Anolis sagrei: one gene and its partner. The protein of the gene in region 1 interacts with the protein of each later gene in a pairwise test. Links are inferred from orthologs where the notes say so. Each region holds a gene or a part of one and is shown in the gene's direction. Other genes may lie near its edges.

The links.
Region 2: the proteins of TCAP (region 1) and TRIM55 interact in a two-hybrid assay, tested with the Homo sapiens proteins (2 studies listed by BioGRID and IntAct). The link is inferred for Anolis sagrei from reciprocal best matches to the Homo sapiens genes TCAP and TRIM55.

The regions. Positions count from the first base shown.
Region 1 is NC_090026.1:42,861,647-42,870,042, forward strand, and holds TCAP (telethonin), read left to right. Parts: upstream 1-4,825; 5' UTR 4,826-4,895; coding exon 4,896-5,044; intron 5,045-7,475; coding exon 7,476-7,863; 3' UTR 7,864-8,334; downstream 8,335-8,396. UniProt on the Homo sapiens protein: Muscle assembly regulating factor. Mediates the antiparallel assembly of titin (TTN) molecules at the sarcomeric Z-disk.
Region 2 is NC_090024.1:45,672,737-45,680,969, reverse strand, and holds the start of TRIM55 (tripartite motif-containing protein 55), read left to right. Parts: upstream 1-4,681; 5' UTR 4,682-4,827; coding exon 4,828-4,995; intron 4,996-6,230; coding exon of another isoform or gene 6,231-6,235; coding exon 6,236-6,408; intron 6,409-8,233. UniProt on the Homo sapiens protein: E3 ubiquitin ligase that plays an important role in regulating cardiac development and contractility, muscle growth, metabolism, and fiber-type differentiation.

The DNA.
Region 1 (8,396 bases):
AAGGTCTGGTGTCTTAGCAGACTACAAAGCTCAGGAATCCTTAGGATGCAGCCACAACAGTTAAAGTAAGGAATTCATAATTGTACAGCATGTAAGTGAGAAACGAGGAGCTTCCTTAGGATCTCAGCTCCCAGAATCTACAGTATCTACTACCAGTGATAAAGGATTATGAGTGGTGTATTCTTGAATACCCATGACTTCATCACACATAGTAAAATCAATGTTTCTATTGCTGCCCTTCACACAATGCAAGTTTCAGCTGTGAGGGTGAGGTTTTTGCTGTTCCTAAAGTGTTGGTTTTCCCAACAATTCCTAAGCTGGTTGGCAATCAACTTATTTTTAAATTCCCTATAGGCAAAATGGCCAGGTTCTGTTGGAGGAAGCAACCTTCTCAAGCCTCCTCTATATGATATTTGTCTGTTTTGTAATGTATCATTTTATAACCTGAAGTATATGTCTTCTTTGATTTGCAGTTTCCTTATCTCTATATACCTACAGCAGTGGGAGGGGCTGCAGGTCATGTGACTGACTCGGTGATAATTTAGAATGTTCAAGTTTAAACAGGATGACAGTTAGGGAATGTTGGTTGAGGAATGACTATTAGAGAATTGTGTTGTGCCTTGAATGAGCTTGAGTATAGAAATCTGTCAGAAGCTCATGTTAGAAAGTTAGAAACTGTTGAAGTTTGTGTTTATTTGAAAGTAATTTTTTACTAAATAGAGCTGTATAAAGCAACACAGTTTATGAAGAAACTGTTAGTAATCAGTTCATGATCTATACCCCGATGGTCAGTGATCCTAACAGGTTATGATCCAATATTAACAATAACTTCCTTTTGTGATGTTAATCCCGTGTCCTGCTTTTGTTGCCTGCTTGTAAATATAACAATGATGTTGTGTGTGGGAGGAGCCAAAATGCCTATTTCCCCAGATTGCCAATACAGAGGCTTGGAGAAAGATCAATCACCAGTGCAAGGGCTCTGGGAAAGATAGGGGTTAATTTAATTTCCTAAGATCCGGGGCGATGTTTTATAAAAAGACAAATAATCAAAATCCTGGAGGGATAATGGGAGGACATCTCAGTGCAATCAACCCCCAAGGAAAGTGCCGTCTTAAGAAAGGTGCTTCTGTTTAAGTAGAAGGGTCTTGAGTTCAAACGACCCCATGGAAAGTGACACCTTAAGAAAAATGCCTTAAATCTGCTTCAGTGGAAGGGTCTTGAAGGCAGTGCTGCCTTAAAGGATACTTATTTTTTAAAAGGGTATCCTTGAAATGAGAGGAGTCATCATCTGCTCATGTAATGGGAATTAAGTGGGTGGTTCAGTTAGAAGCTGGAGGAGGTGATCTAGGGCCCTTCCACACAGCCATATAACCTAGAATATCAAGACAGAAAATCCCACAATATCTGCTTTGAACTGGATTATCTGAGTCCACACTGCCATGTATCCAGTTCAAAGCAGATAATGTGGGATTTTCTGTCTTGATATTCTTGGTTATATTCAGCTGTGTGGAAGGGGCCCTAGATCGCCTCTTCATCTTCATAAATTCTTCATCTTCTTTTAAAACAGAACTCCACGAAACTCTACCCATTCCCCCACTTTCCCTCATTTCCTCCAGCTCTTTGTGATGAAATCCCCAGATCCATGTTCAACCACCCATGATAAGACTGCTGTGGGCTCGATTGACATAAGGAAGCTTCCTATGTTTCTTAAATGCTAATATTTCTCCCTTAAATTACATAAACATAAAGGGGATACATCATCAGCTGGGACCACTCCACCCAGCACCAATTGCCACTCTGGACCAGAGTGAAGAGAGAAGGGGCCAGGGGGCAGCTCCATCTTATCTCCTGCATATGTCATCAGTTGGGGACCCCTCCCCGCCAGCACCAATTGCTGCTCTGGAACAGAGTGAAGAGAGAGGGGGCCAGGGAATAGTCCCATCTTATCTCCTGCATATGTCATCATTTGGGGACCCTTCCCCGCCAGTACCAACTGCCGCTCCGGACCAGAATGAAGAGAGAAGGGGCCAGGGAACAGTTCACCTTGTCTCCTGTGCTATGCTAATAACATAATATAATATAATGTAATGTAATATATTGTATGTACATATAATATTTATAATATTATAATGTAATGCAATATAATACTAATAATATTATAATATTATAATGATATATTTATATTACATGTAATATTACTAATAATATTACAATATAATGGTATAGTACAATATAGTAATATTTAATACTGATATTGTACTATGCTAATAATATAATATATTGTGTGTGTGTGTGTGTGTGTGTGTGTGTATATATATATATATATATATATATATATATATATATATATATATCTTGTAAGCTGCTCTGAGTCCCCTTTGGGGTAAGAAGGGCGGCATATAAATGTCATAAATAAATAAACAAACAAACAAAGCTTTATTTCTTTATCACATTTCCTCTGTACTTCAATGAGTTTGAGGAGGCATACATGGTGGGCACATATCTGATATCTTATGCACCCAACAATCCAGTATACCAGGTGATGTTGAGTGAGGGCATCTAAGTCCAAGGTCATCTCAGGGAGCTTCTATGATGGGATTAAGCCCAGGCTGTCTCTGAATCTCTACCTCACTTCTTTGTATCCTCCCTCTCTTCCCTGCTTCCCACTTCTGGCATCATCCTTCTGGAGTGTGGGGCTTCCACGTGTTGCAAGAATCCTGCCTAGTCCTGCCCACAGATCTTTGACTCCCCTCTCTCCCTAGTGGCCCTTTGCCTAGTCAACAACCCATGTTGTTTTAGCCTGTCCCTAGTTCCCCTCTTTACAGGACATTCTCTCCCTGTAAGGCCAGACCTTTGACATTGTATTTCCCTAAGGGTGGGGAAGGAGTCTATGAGGCTGGTTCTGGGTATATGTGTTTGTGTGTATGTATAAGTGATCATGCAGAAGGGCTGGCATGATGGTCCTGAAACCTGAGGGGGTGGGTGAGTGACTGGATGGAAAGATCTTCTTTCCAGTGACTTCATGTTGCAGACACGTCACACAGCTGTGCCGGCTCAGCACAGGGCACTCCCATCAAGTAATCTCTCAACCTTTCTATCCATCACCAAATGCCTTTCTGAATTGCACACTCGCTGGCTCATAAGTTCTGCTGAGTCTCAGCATGAGCTTGACTTCATGGCTTGATTCAGTGCCGGTAAAGGTGAAAACCTCTAAATTTGGATGCTGAATCCTTTCTGATTAACTGACTTCTGAATTGAAATCTTAATGTTGAATCCATGGTTCTATTGAGACAGAATCATAGACTTGGAAGAAACCTCATCGGCCATCCAGTCCAACTCCCTGCCAAGAAGAAGGAAAATTACATTCAAAGTACCCCTGACAGATGGCCATCCAGTCTCTGTTAAAAAGTTTCCAAAGAAGGAGCCTCCACCACACTCCAGGGCAGAGAGTTCCACTGCTGAACAGCTCTCACAGTCGGGAAGTTCTTCCTAATGTTCAGATGGAATCTCCTTTCCTGTAGTTCCTGGAGGCTTGTTCTTTGGAGACTTTAAAACAGAGGCTGGATGGCCATCTTTTGGGAATATTTTGAATGTAATTTTCCTGCTTCCTGCCAGGGGGTTGGATTTCAGGCATGTAGCCGGGGGGGGGGGGGGAGGCTCGGGGGGCTTCAGCCCCCCCCCCCCAAATTTTCATGGTGGTTCGCGAAAAGGCCTTATTGGTGCATTATTTAAACTGTTATGTTTATTCATATCATGATCTGATCACCATACTCAATATATCCCATATGCATGGGGGTATTGGGGTAATGATACAAAAGGTTTGCTAGGGTAGAACCTCTTTCACTCAGACTCAGCCCCCCCCCCCCCCGAAACTCAGCCCCCCTGAAACCCCCCCTGAAAAAAAATTCAGCCCCCCCCCCCCCCGAAACGAAATCCTGGCTACGGGCCTGGTTGGATTGGATGGCCCATGAGGTCTCTTCCAACTCTATGATTCTATCTCAATATAACCATGAATTCAACATTGATTAAGATTTCAATTCAGAAGCCATTCTTCCACATCCTAGTCTCCAGGGCAGCATAAAACAAGCTTGCTCCCTCCTCCCTATGATTTCCTCTCACATATTTATACATGGCTACCATGTCTCCTCTCAGCCTTCTCTTCTGCAGACTAAACATGCCAAGCTCTTTAAGCCACTCCTCATAGGTCTTGTTCTCCAGACTCTTGATCATTTTAGTCGCCCTCCTCTGGACACATTCCAGCTTGTCAATATCTCTCTTCAATTGTGGTATTGTGATCAATCCCAAATAATTGCAGAGATCCCAAAGTCTAAAGCAGTTGAAACATTGGATGAAATTTCATTATCCTTAATGAAAAGGAAATATATGTCATCTGCACATGATCACAAATGCACACATATCCTTATGATTCGCCTGTTGTCACAGACAAGAGATCCAAAAGCAAACCGACTATATCTCAACTTCAGGGAGTCCACTTTAAATGAAAAGTATTTGATGTAAAATCTTTCACCAAAACACTGTGGCAGAAGTCAGACCCTTTTGATCTTTCACACTCAGTCATTTAAACAGCCTGTTGACAGCAGTTCTCACCAGGAAGAGGAGGGTTAAATGAACATAACATATTATAGCATCACAAATGTGGTTTCCAATAACACATACAACCCGAGGAGGCAAAAAGAGGGAGGGGGATCAGAGTCGTATCCAGTGTCAGAATGCTCCACCAGTGACTCAGCATGCCTAGTTTAGCTCCAGACGCCAATCCCTCGGGAATGGGCACTCGGAAAACTATATAAGTCACCCGTGGCTGGGACAATAGCCCAGGCAGAACTGAGGCTTTACATTCACATCCCAGCCGAAGAAGAGACACAGACGCAACAATGCACGGCAAGAGTGTGGTCCTGAGAAGCTCTGGGACACTGTCCGCAGCTGAACTGGCTTGCCAGGTGTCTGAGAGGAACACGGCACGGAAAGAATCCTTCTCCGCTGAATGGAAAGACCTATCTCTCACCACTCGTCCTGAAGAAGGGTGAGTCTTTTGATGATCTCGGGTTAGGCAAGGTTTGGGTCAGGCTTGGTCAAAGTGGTCATAATAAAATGGTCACAAAATTACTGATAGGTTTGGGATTCTCGAAAGAAGACTATGAAACGAGGCAAAGTTTTGGTAGATCCATCTAATCGTTTAGACTTGGGTCTAAACTGGGTTCAATAAGAAGTGAGAAAAAGGTAGGCATTAGGGACCTGATATCTCAGAAATATTTCTCTTTGCCATGGCTCAAAGTAGACTTCTCCAAGCTGTTGTCCTCCAGATGTGTTAGACTACAACTCCCACCAACCCCAGCCAACTCAGCCATAATACATCTTGGGGGGGGGGGGGGGGGAGGTCACCAGGATGAAGAGGCTACTCCATAGCAACGTTATTTTGGGTTGGCATGAGTTTTGCTACAGTGCTGTAAATGGTCTGCATCAGTTATTATCATCAGGGTGTATATAGCCATTATTCCATCCGTAGTAGTAGTAGTAATAGTAATAGTAGTAGTAGTAGTAGTAGTAGAAGAAGAACTTTATTTTTCTACCCCGCCTCCATCTCCCTGAAGGGACTTGGGGAGGCTTACATGGGGCCAAGCCCAGGCAGAATACAATTAAAACAAAGCAATAACAATTAAAACAGCATAAAAACAACATAAAACAACATAACAAAAATAACTAGCAACGACAATAACAGGAGACTAATTTTGGAGGGGGGGAGGAAAACCACTACGTGAGCTAATTAAAGGATAAAGTGGTTTAGTAAGGTAGATGACAATGTATAATGGCATAGGAAAAATCATGGAAACAGAGTAAATTAACAGGATCAGTTAATATAATATAGAACATCAGATTAAATGACAATAGTATTGTATCAAGGAGCAACAACACGCCATTACATGTGGATCTTACAGCCTATATTTTGACAAAAGAGGAAATAAAGAAAGTGCTAAAGGGGGGGATGAAAAATAGTAAGGTTGAGAGACAATGGCCATTGAGTCAGACCACCAGCAATCCAGCACTGTTTAAATGGATGGAGTGAGTTGAAAAAAAAGTGCGCAATGCATACAAGTGATGAACAAGATTATGAATTTGCATTACTGATTCAGACCAGAGGCTGAGAAAATTACTTTTCATACTAGAACGCTTAGCTAGCCTTTCTGACCAAGAGTTTAGATCCAGCTGCACATGCTTTCTGCCTCAAGAAAGGGCCAAGCAAATTCTTCTGGGGAGCTCACAAACAAAGCACCTGGAGGATAGCTGTCTCCTCTCCTCTACTTCAGAGTTTCTCAAACTGTGCTCCTCCAGATGTTTTGGACTTCAGCTCCCACAATTCTTAACAGCTGGTAATCTGGCTAGGATTTCTGGGAGCTGAAGTCCAAAACACCTGAAGGAACACAGTTTGAGAAAGACTTTGTCCATAGTTGGTGGATTCTTTCTAGTTTAGTGCCATCTTTTCTACAATCGGGCAACCAGATCCTCATCAAAGCCCAACCAAAAGGGGCACAGAGTGACATACCCCCTCCTATTCATGTCCTCCAGCCAATGACATTAGAGGCATGGGGTGGCACATAGCGTCCTTGACTAGTAGGCATTGATTGCTTTATTCCCATTAATCTTATTTACATTTAAACTCAGTTAAATCAGTGCTGGGTAATCTGTGGTTTTCTAGATCCTATGGAACACCCAAGTCCCATCAACATTAACCAATCAGGATAACAATGAAGTATGATAGTAGAAGTTTACCAATATCTGGAAACCCACAAGTTTCCAACCTCTGATAATAGTTGGCCATCACCATATTTTGTGGTAGTGAACTCAGGCATGGCTAAACTTTGGTCCTCCAGATATTTTGGACGTCAACTCCCACAATTCCTAACAGCCTACTGGTTTATTGTCGAAGGCTTTCATGGCCGGAATCACTGGGTTGTTGTAGGTTTTTTCAGGCTATATGGCCATGTTCTAGAGGCATTCTCTCCCGACATTTCGCCTGCATCTATGGCAAGCATCTTACTACCTCTGAGGATGCTTGCCATAGATGCAGGCGAAACGTCAGGAGAGAATGCCTCTAGAACATGGCCATATAGCCCGAAAAAAACTACAACAACCCAGCCTACTGGTTGTTAGGAATTGTAGGAGTTGAAGTCCAAAATACCTGGAGGGTTGGAGTTTGCTCATGCCTGCTATAGCCTAGCTATGTGATGCGTGAAGAAGCATTTCATTGAATCTTGCCCAGTTCACCCACTTTGGAGAGGTTTTCACAACTCCCTTTTGGTTTTCTGAGTAGGTTGTCATTATTGGGAGGAAACACAGTTACTCCAATTCTCACCATTAACCATAAGCACAGGAAATTCAATTTTTGGGAAATTCTGTACTGTTGGGAGATCTTGTGGATGTGAACCTAATATTGATTCTTTCTCTCTTCTCCACAGCTGGAATCGGTTTGAAGTGGACAAGAGGCGCAAAGAGACCTACCGCCAGCAACAGGAAGCTCGAGTCATAGTGCAGCGGTCACCCTGGGGTATCCTCCGCCTGGGTCTGCTGGGTGAACCCCTGACCTCCTATCACCTGCCATATCAGCGGGCGTTGCCCTTGCCCCTCTTCACCCCCACCAAGTTGAGTGCCAGGGAATACACGCCCACTCCCTCTGAGTCTGTGGAGTCACTGCCAGTGACAGGCGTGTGTCTTGACAAGAAACCTCTGGCGGAGATCACCAAGGAATTGCCTCCCGTTGTCCAACCCGCCTGCCCCGACTTCAAGAAAGCTGGCCTGCCTCGCTCATTGTCCCGCTCCATGTCTCAAGAGGCCCAGAGAGGCTGAGGCTTATGGGACATCTTCCCTCCTCCCGAAAACCCCCCCGAATGGTTCCTTTTCAGGAACTGGCTTGGATTCTTCGGGCCTCTGTGTCTGTTGCTGCATGAGGACCATCTCAAGGGGCCCAGATAGATAGAAAAGACTTGCTAGAACTGACTCCATCGAGATAAACTCCTTTGGGAAGGAGCAAAGACTGTGATTGCATCCATGTGTGTGTGTTTCACAGCCCCAAAACCTTGACTTTTGGAGACTACACCTCCCAGAATCCCCCAGCTAGCATGCTGGCTGAGGAAATTCTGGATGTTGTAATCCAAAAAAAGTGAATTTTCCAAGCTCTGGCTGTGTTTAACCAAATAGATGTACTGTATTATGCACTTTCTTTACTGTGTACTTTTGAACACTCGAGAGAGTAGGGAGAGCCCATTGGACTAAGAATAGGAAAGAAAGGTGGTACAACAAATCCAAACAAAGAGTTTGGGGGGGAAAAAACCCTTCTTAAAGTTACACAGTGATACTGTGAATCTTTTTAGAGGCAAAGG
Region 2 (8,233 bases), on another chromosome or scaffold:
AGCTTCCCTCTTGTGCTTTGTAAATTACTGTGACTTTAGTAGTTTAACTCTGTGATTCAATATAAAAAGTTACTCAAGAGATCCATGTTTGGAGGTTGCAGTTCCTTCCCTACAATAAAGAATAGACTATTTATTTATAGAGTCAGAAGCAAATTGAGGGTACAGTTATAATGTAGAATCATACAGTTGGAAGAGACATCATGGGCCATCCAGTCCAACCCCCTGCCAAGAAGCAAGAAAATCAAATTCAAAGCACTCCCAACAGATGGCCATCCAGCTTCTATTTAAAAGATTCCAAAGAAGAAGCCTTCACCACACTCCTTGGCAGAGAGTTCCACTGCTGAAGGGCTCTCACAGTCAGAAAGTTCTTCCTCATGTTCAGGTGGAATCTCCTCTCTTGTAGTTTGAAGCCATTGTTCCGCGTTCTAGTGTCCAATGCAGCAGAAAACAAGTTTGCTCCCTCTTCTCTATGACTTCCTCTCACGTATTTATACATGGCTAGCATGTCTCCTCTTGAGGAAGGGACAAGCTTGTTTTCTGCTGCTCTGGACACTAGGACAAACCAGAGCAATGGAATCAAACAGCACCTGAACATTTGGAAGAACTTCCACTATGCAGTAGTGCATGGGCAAACTTGGGCCCTGCAGGTGGTTTGGAGTCTAACTCCCACCATTCATCACAGCTTATGACTTCCTCTCACATATTTATACATGGCTATCATGTCTCCTCTCATCCTTTTCTTCTTCAGGCTAAACATACCCAACTCTTTAAGCCACTCCTCATAGGGCTTGTTCTCCAGACCCTTGATCATGGTGTGGGGCATAGACATCCTGTGATAATGTGGTATGTCTTATTAAGAGCCATATCTACTGTTTTAGCATGGTGAGATGTGTTCTACGCTGGGTATGTGTACTCAGCAGCGGAGTAGCAAAGCACAAGGGCAGATGTCTTCACTGTGTTTGGTTGTGATTCCCCAGATTGTGCTATTCAGCTTTCATACAATATTGTTTCTAGCACTCACTTTTTGCTTGATAGTCAAGCAGTGCTTCTTGTAGGCCAGAGTTGATGAGGATGTGTCCATATTCTACAGCCAGGCATGAGCAAACTTCTGCCCTCCAGGTGTATGGGACTTCAACTTCCACAATTCATAAGAGCGGCTGTATCCCTTACCCAAAATGGTTGCGACCAGAAGTGTTTTGGATTTTGGATTTTTCCTGATTTGGAATACTTGTATTTGCATATATTGTATGTACACATAGTATTCAAAGACAAAGCAATGTAGTCTGGATCAGTGTGCAAAAGAGATCTTGAAGTAGCTTTAAGACTAGTTATAAAGCCTGTGCTCTTTGGTTGGGCCCAGACTTTGTTTTAAGTATAGATTACCCATAGACTTTGTTGTAAGTATAGATTGCCCCTTGAAGGTTACTCCTTCCTTGTGTTTAGAGCTGAAATTTAAACTTTCCTTGTATCTTGATAGCCAGATAATAACAAATTCTATTAGTATAATGAACAGGCCTTTTCACCATGCTGTCTCTAAGCAGAGAGAGGTATATTCTTACTCTCTCTCTCTCTCTCTCTCTCTAGCTAGCTAGCTATCCTAGCTATTTTATTAGCAAATAAAATGGACCCAATGTGCAAGTGGTATGTACAGGATGAATGCGAATACAACCGCCTGCTACAGTAAGTAAAGTAGATGTTGCACTTAAACTCATAGACATGATACATACTGCTTGTACAGTTGTCTGATAAAGTATTGGCAAGTAACAGCACAGATGGCTTGCTTTAAGATTAGGCCTCACATGCCAGACGTGATCTGGGAAATTGTCATTTTAAAAATAACTTTGCAACAAGTGCCAAGTTATGAGGGATCCATGCATCCAATAAACAGAAACAAAGCAGTGTCCCAGTGCTGGAACTTAATCATTGGGATTATACTATGGGCGTATAACCCAGGCAGAATTATCACCTCTGCTCAGCCAATAAAAATGGTGCATCTTCGCTATTTTTCCAAAGTACTTGAACTTAGAAAACACTGAAAGGTTTTTTTTTCTTTTTAAGTGTATTGGAACTGTTCCTTTAAAAAACTACAGAGAAAGCTTATTTATGAAGAATATTATTGAAGAGCTAAGTATGATTTCTCTATGGCAACACTATCTACAGGTGTGACAGCATGACAGGAAGAAGATCAAGAGAAGAAAGAAGCAAACATTTGCCAATTGGCTTTTTGAGGCAGAAGAGGAGGATGGGGCCTCTGGCTTACCATTATCTAGCAATAGACACCGCTGGTCAGCCATGTGTGAGTACAAAGCCAACTGAGCCACATCCTTTTATGCTATTTTACCACACTGCGCACTGGTGAGAGCATAGGGGGCTTCCTGCCTCAGTGCTATTCTACAAAGGGAGCATCTTTCCATCTGCCACACCATCTGCCACTACTAAGACTGGTTCACACAACTAATTGTGGAACTTGTTTCCACATCTTACTTCTTTCTACAAAAGAGATAGAGACTTTTTGAAGCCTTATATACCATTTGAGAAAAGTAGGTTCTGGACATTAGAAATATGCAATTAATTGGTTAATAAGAGGCAAAGTCCAACCCTGGAAGCACACAGAATCATATAGAAACCACAAAGTATTCCAATTAAAGGATTCCTGAGAGAGAGCCATTCAAACTATGTTTAGAAACCACAGAAAAGGAGAGTTCACCATCCTTCAAGCCAATCTATTCTACCATTGAACAGTACACAAGTTCATCCTAATATTGAGGTGGAATCTCTAATCTTCTCTTGTAATTGAACTCCATAGTTCATATCTGAGGCTCTAGAAAAGCAACAAGAAAGTTCATTCCATCTTTTGCATGGCATCCTTCCATATATTTGAAGATGGTTATCATATTACCTCTTAAGTTTCTCTGCTCCAGGCTCAACATACCTAGATCTCAAAATTATTTCTCATTGCACTTGATTTGCAGACCTTTTACCATATTGGCAGTTTTCCTCTGGACATATTCCAGCTTGTCCTTATTGAACTGTTATTCAGAACTGGAAAAAGTATTTCTCCACTATTTCCCTTGATCTGATCGCTACATTCCTTTTGATGCAGCCTACAGTCCATTGTTTGTTTGCTTGTTTTAGTCACTGCATTATACTATTGAATAATGTTTGTTATAATCTGCTAAAATTGTTTGATCATTTTCACAAGTGTTGTTTTTTTCTCCCATTAATCTTACACATTTTTCCTTCCTAGATATAGTACCCTTCTGAGATTCACTTTATTAGCTTTGCTCCAGATCTCCAATCTGTCAAGGTCATATTGAATAACCCCTGGCACCACATCTATGGCCCTTTTCCTCTTCAGACATCCTGGATTAAAAAACATGAAAGGGGGGGGGGGGAGATTATTCTTCTAGAAGCCTTCAGAAGTTCATATATTAAATAGTTGAAGGCCTTTCTTACACATCTCAACAGGGTTTTTTTGCAGGGGGAGGGGGTGGGGATCCCCCAAAGCCATAATCAAATGTCTGGTTACTTCTGCGTGTTTTTGGTTTGTTCTTTGGCAATCCATCATTATTTGAGTGGGTTCCAGGACCAGAAAATTGCCTTTTGGACCCACTTTAGTTTTAGAAAGTAGTAGTACTACAGTAGAGTCTCACTTATCCAACATTAATGGGCTGGCAGAATGTTGGATAAGCAAAAATATTGGGTAATAAGGAGGGATTAAAGAAAAGCCTATTAAACATCAAATTATGTTATGATTTTACAAATTAAGCACCAAAACATCAACAGAAAAAGCAGTTCAATACATGGTAACATTATGTAGTAATTACTGTATTTACAAATTTAGCACCAAAACATTGCAATGTTTTGAAACAGCTGTGGAGACAGACTGCTTTGAATAATACAGCACATAGGATGAGCGAAGGTTGAATAAGCAAGACTCTATCGTATATCTATTCGAGTATAAGCCAACCTCCTGCATAATTTTTCAGGGCAAGAATTGTGGATTTTGATACCCCCCATGTAGATAAGTTGAGAATAATTCCATGGAGAAAAGAAAACACTAGGACTGACTTAAAGGGCCTTTGACTGCCACTACCATTTTCCCCGTGCAGGCAATCAAAAAGTCCAGAAGCAGCACCATAGTGTAGAGGGTAGAAGAGGTCAGTGCTTCTTTAAGGTTTTCCTGGGATGGACCAAGCTCTTAACTTTTACCATTCTATTCAGAGAAGTAGGTGGTAGTTTTTTGAAAAATTAATATACAGTACTTACATTGACCCATGGATAAGATGACACCATTTTTGGAGCTGACTTTTTGACTAAAATTTCTAGACATATATATGAGTATTTAGGGTATGCTTATTGAATTGCTCCTTGCTTTTTCTTACCACAATGAGATGTAAAGATATTAACAACCAGGCTGTATTCTATGGTCAACATGATATTTCAACTTTTCCAAAAGAGTGAGTGGTGCATGTGTCAGCGGCAACTGTTGAATTTCTCCACCTCCTCCCCTATGCTCCCCCCCCCCATTCCTCTTGGACACAAGAATGTTGCTCTTTCACCCCAGTGAGCTGTCACCTGTCTAAATCTGTCCTTGTGACAGATGCATATATGGAGAGAGTGAGTATGGCAGCCAATGACGCTCTGCTTCTAAAATAGGCCCAGCTCCCTGCTTTCCCTTCCACCCATTAAAACAATGTCATCCAGGGAAAGAGTCTCAAAGGACATTTGATCTCACAAGCATTGGAATTTTTTCAGGGGACCTAACCCGGAAACCCATTGGCCGCATTCTGATTCTGAGCCTATGTTCCTCAGACTCTCTAGGAGATGAGCACCTCTCTTAATTACAAGTCTTTCTCCAAAGAGCAAGAAACTATGGATAACTTAGAGAAACAGCTTATTTGTCCCATATGTTTAGAGATGTTTTCTAAGCCAGTGGTGATCCTCCCCTGTCAGCACAACCTATGTCGAAAATGTGCCAGCGATATCTTCCAGGTAAGTTGACCTTTTGGAATTATTTAACCTTTCAGATTATAAAATCAGATGTGGTGGTTTAATAAAAAGGGTTTTCTCTAGATGAGAAAAAAAATGAATTAGAAAAAAGACACTTGTTTGTTATTTGCTGTATGATTCTGGATCCTTTGCATGTGGAAATGCTCCCCACCCTATTGATCTAGAATGAATTATAATTATTTAATGTACGTAGAGATATTAAAATATAAACTCATTCCTGTCCTTCCCCAATACTTCTAAGAATGGAAAGTTTATCTCTACAAGAAGTTGTTACTTTGTATTGTCGAAGGCTTTCATGGCCAGAATCACTGGGATGTTGTGAGTTTTCCAGGCTGTATGGCCATGTTCCAGAAGCATTCTCTCCTGACGTTTTGCCTGCATCTATGGCAAGCATCCGCAGAGGTTGTGAGGTCCATACTACCTGGAAAACTCACAACAACCCAGTTGTTACCTTATGAACTTGGAATCCTTAAACAAAAGGGACTTGCTGGTGCGAACCTTCCATAAACAAAATGGAAACAATGTACCCTTTGTACTTACTGGATAGCATTTTGGACTATGCCTTGGTGGTTAAGGTAAGTTTATCTTTGATTATCTTATTCCAGGACTTTCCAAACTGCAATATGTAGATGTTTTGCATGAATGTAACAATATATATCGAAGACATATAAATAAAAGGTTTCCATGGGATGACATGTCACCATGCATTTCACTATTACAATTGATGTATGTTTTAATCTCTTATAAGGGATTGGTTTAACTTCTGGTTCATTTATTTATTTATTTATTTATTTATTTATTTATTTATTTACTGTGCTCCTCTCAGCCCTCAAGCGACTTGAGGCGGTTTACATGACAAAACTCAGTGCCACAAAGCATAAGTACAATTTAAAAAACATTAATATACATAAAATCATAACCGCAGCAATAAAACATGTCATTAATAAATCCTTACTAAAAACTTTGTCCAGTAAAACTGAATTACTGTGTCGCGAAATGATTCATGTCTAAAAAGTGTGTCACCAAAATGAAATGTTTTGACAGCTCTGCCTTATCCAACAGTGATTAAAGTGCAATGAGTAACACAAAGGCATGTGATCATTTCTTAAGCAGATAGTCTGACATGCATCTTACAATATGGAAGTGAAAGCAGTTGCAGGAAATATCTGTGAATGAATGCATGCTTGACTCCACAATCTTTTTTACTCCTTGGCAAGAACAGGCCTCAAACCCGTATCTGCCAATGAGAGGAGGCACCACTGTGGCTTCAGGAGGTCGATTCCGCTGTCCGTCATGCAGGCACGAAGTTGTTCTAGACAGACATGGCGTCTATGGCCTTCAGAGGAATCTGCTGGTGGAAAACATAATTGATATATACAAGCAGGAATCTGCCAGGTAATAGATCAATTTCTGTCCTTGAAGGAATGTCTGTGGATGCAGTTCCTACATTGGTTGCATTTCCCATGGAAACAAATTACGATAGTTTAAGGCCTCAAAAAGAGAATTATAGGGTATTCAAATAACGTGAATTGTAGAACTGAACTACTGCTGAACTGCCTCTTTTTGTTGTCGAAGGTTTTCATGTCCAGAGTCACATGGCCATACAGCCCAGAAACTCATAGCAACCCAGTGCCTCTTTCCCCATCCCAACTTTCCTCTCCCTCTTCTTCCTCCTCCCTCCCCTTTTTCCTCTGTCGCATGAAAGTGTATAACTACAGCTAGATCAGTGGTTCTCAACCTTCCTAATGCTGTGACCCCTTAATACAGTTTCTCATTTTATGGTGACCCCCAACCATAAAATTAATTTCGTTGCTACTTCATAACTGTAATTTTGCTATTGTTATGAATCGTAATGTAAATATCTGATATGCAGGATGTATTTTCATTCACTGGAAGAAATTTGGCACAAATAGCTGATACATCCAGATTTGAATACTGACAAAAATGACTGATTTTGTCATTTGGGAGTTGTAGTTGCTGGGATGTATAGTTCACCAGAAATCAAAGAGCAATCAAAAAGCATTCTGAACTCCAACAACAAGGGAATTGAACCAAACTTGGCACCAGAACTCCCATGACCAACAGAAAATACTGGAAAGGTTTGGTGCGCATTGACTTTGGGTTGTGGAGTTATAGGTCATCTACATCCATAGAGCACTGCGGACACAAACAATTATGCATTTTCTAATGGGAGCATTAATAAAAAACAAAAGACTGATTTTTTCCCTATTAAATAGCGTTACAAATTACCGAAGCTGTTTCTGCTGCTCCTCTGATGCTGCTGGGCCATTCTCAGTCCCACGTCACACAGGTGCTTCCCACCTGCCTTGAAGGGACTTGCTGGTGCGAGCCTTCCTCCACCCTTGCATGCTCTCTCTTGCCCATGCATCTGCACTACGCTGCCATGTACCAAGCATGTCTGCTCTCCCCACCCTGCTTGGAGTCTCAGGAACAGCACTTCCCTTAGCTGAGAGACCGGCCACTACAGCCATTTGTTTCCAAAAAGGAAGAGAAAAACAGGCAGTGAGATCTTCAACCTTCCCAGCCAAAGGGGTTCCTAAGACCATTAGAAATTTGCGTTTTCCAATGGTCTTTGGTGACCCTTCTGACACCTCCTCTCCCAGGTTGAGAAACACTAACCTAGATATAAAAGGAAAAGGCTATAGTTATCATCATCAACAGGCTTCATTATGTACAAGTAGATAGGGACCACACAGAACGCCGCATGCATAATTCTTGATTGTTGAACTTCTGATATTAGTTACGCTTTGTTTTACAAGAAGTAAAACTGGTTGGCTTTACCTTTTTTTAATGAGAAGTTTTATCATCCATTTGTAGCTGTTGCACAAGGTTCTATATTTATTACAGATATTTACTATAGAATGTCAGCTTTGTGTGCTTTGTGGAATTAATTGTCATCAAACAATATTCAGCTTTACCTCAGTATTTAATCTTCACATCTGATGAATATTTTGGGTTTGTTTTTATTTGTAACTCATCTATCTCTGGAAGTTCAAATACAACAAGATTCAAAGATACAAATAAAAATTCAAAAAAGTATAAAAATGCAATCAAACACATTGCAATATTAAAAAGTAATAGGATTTAAAGCAATTAAAAGAACCGCAATAAAAATACGGTCCCCTTCCATTAAAAGCCTGCTTCTAGGCAATCAGTCATTTGCTAAAAGCCTGCCCAAATGACTTTGCCTACTGGCTGA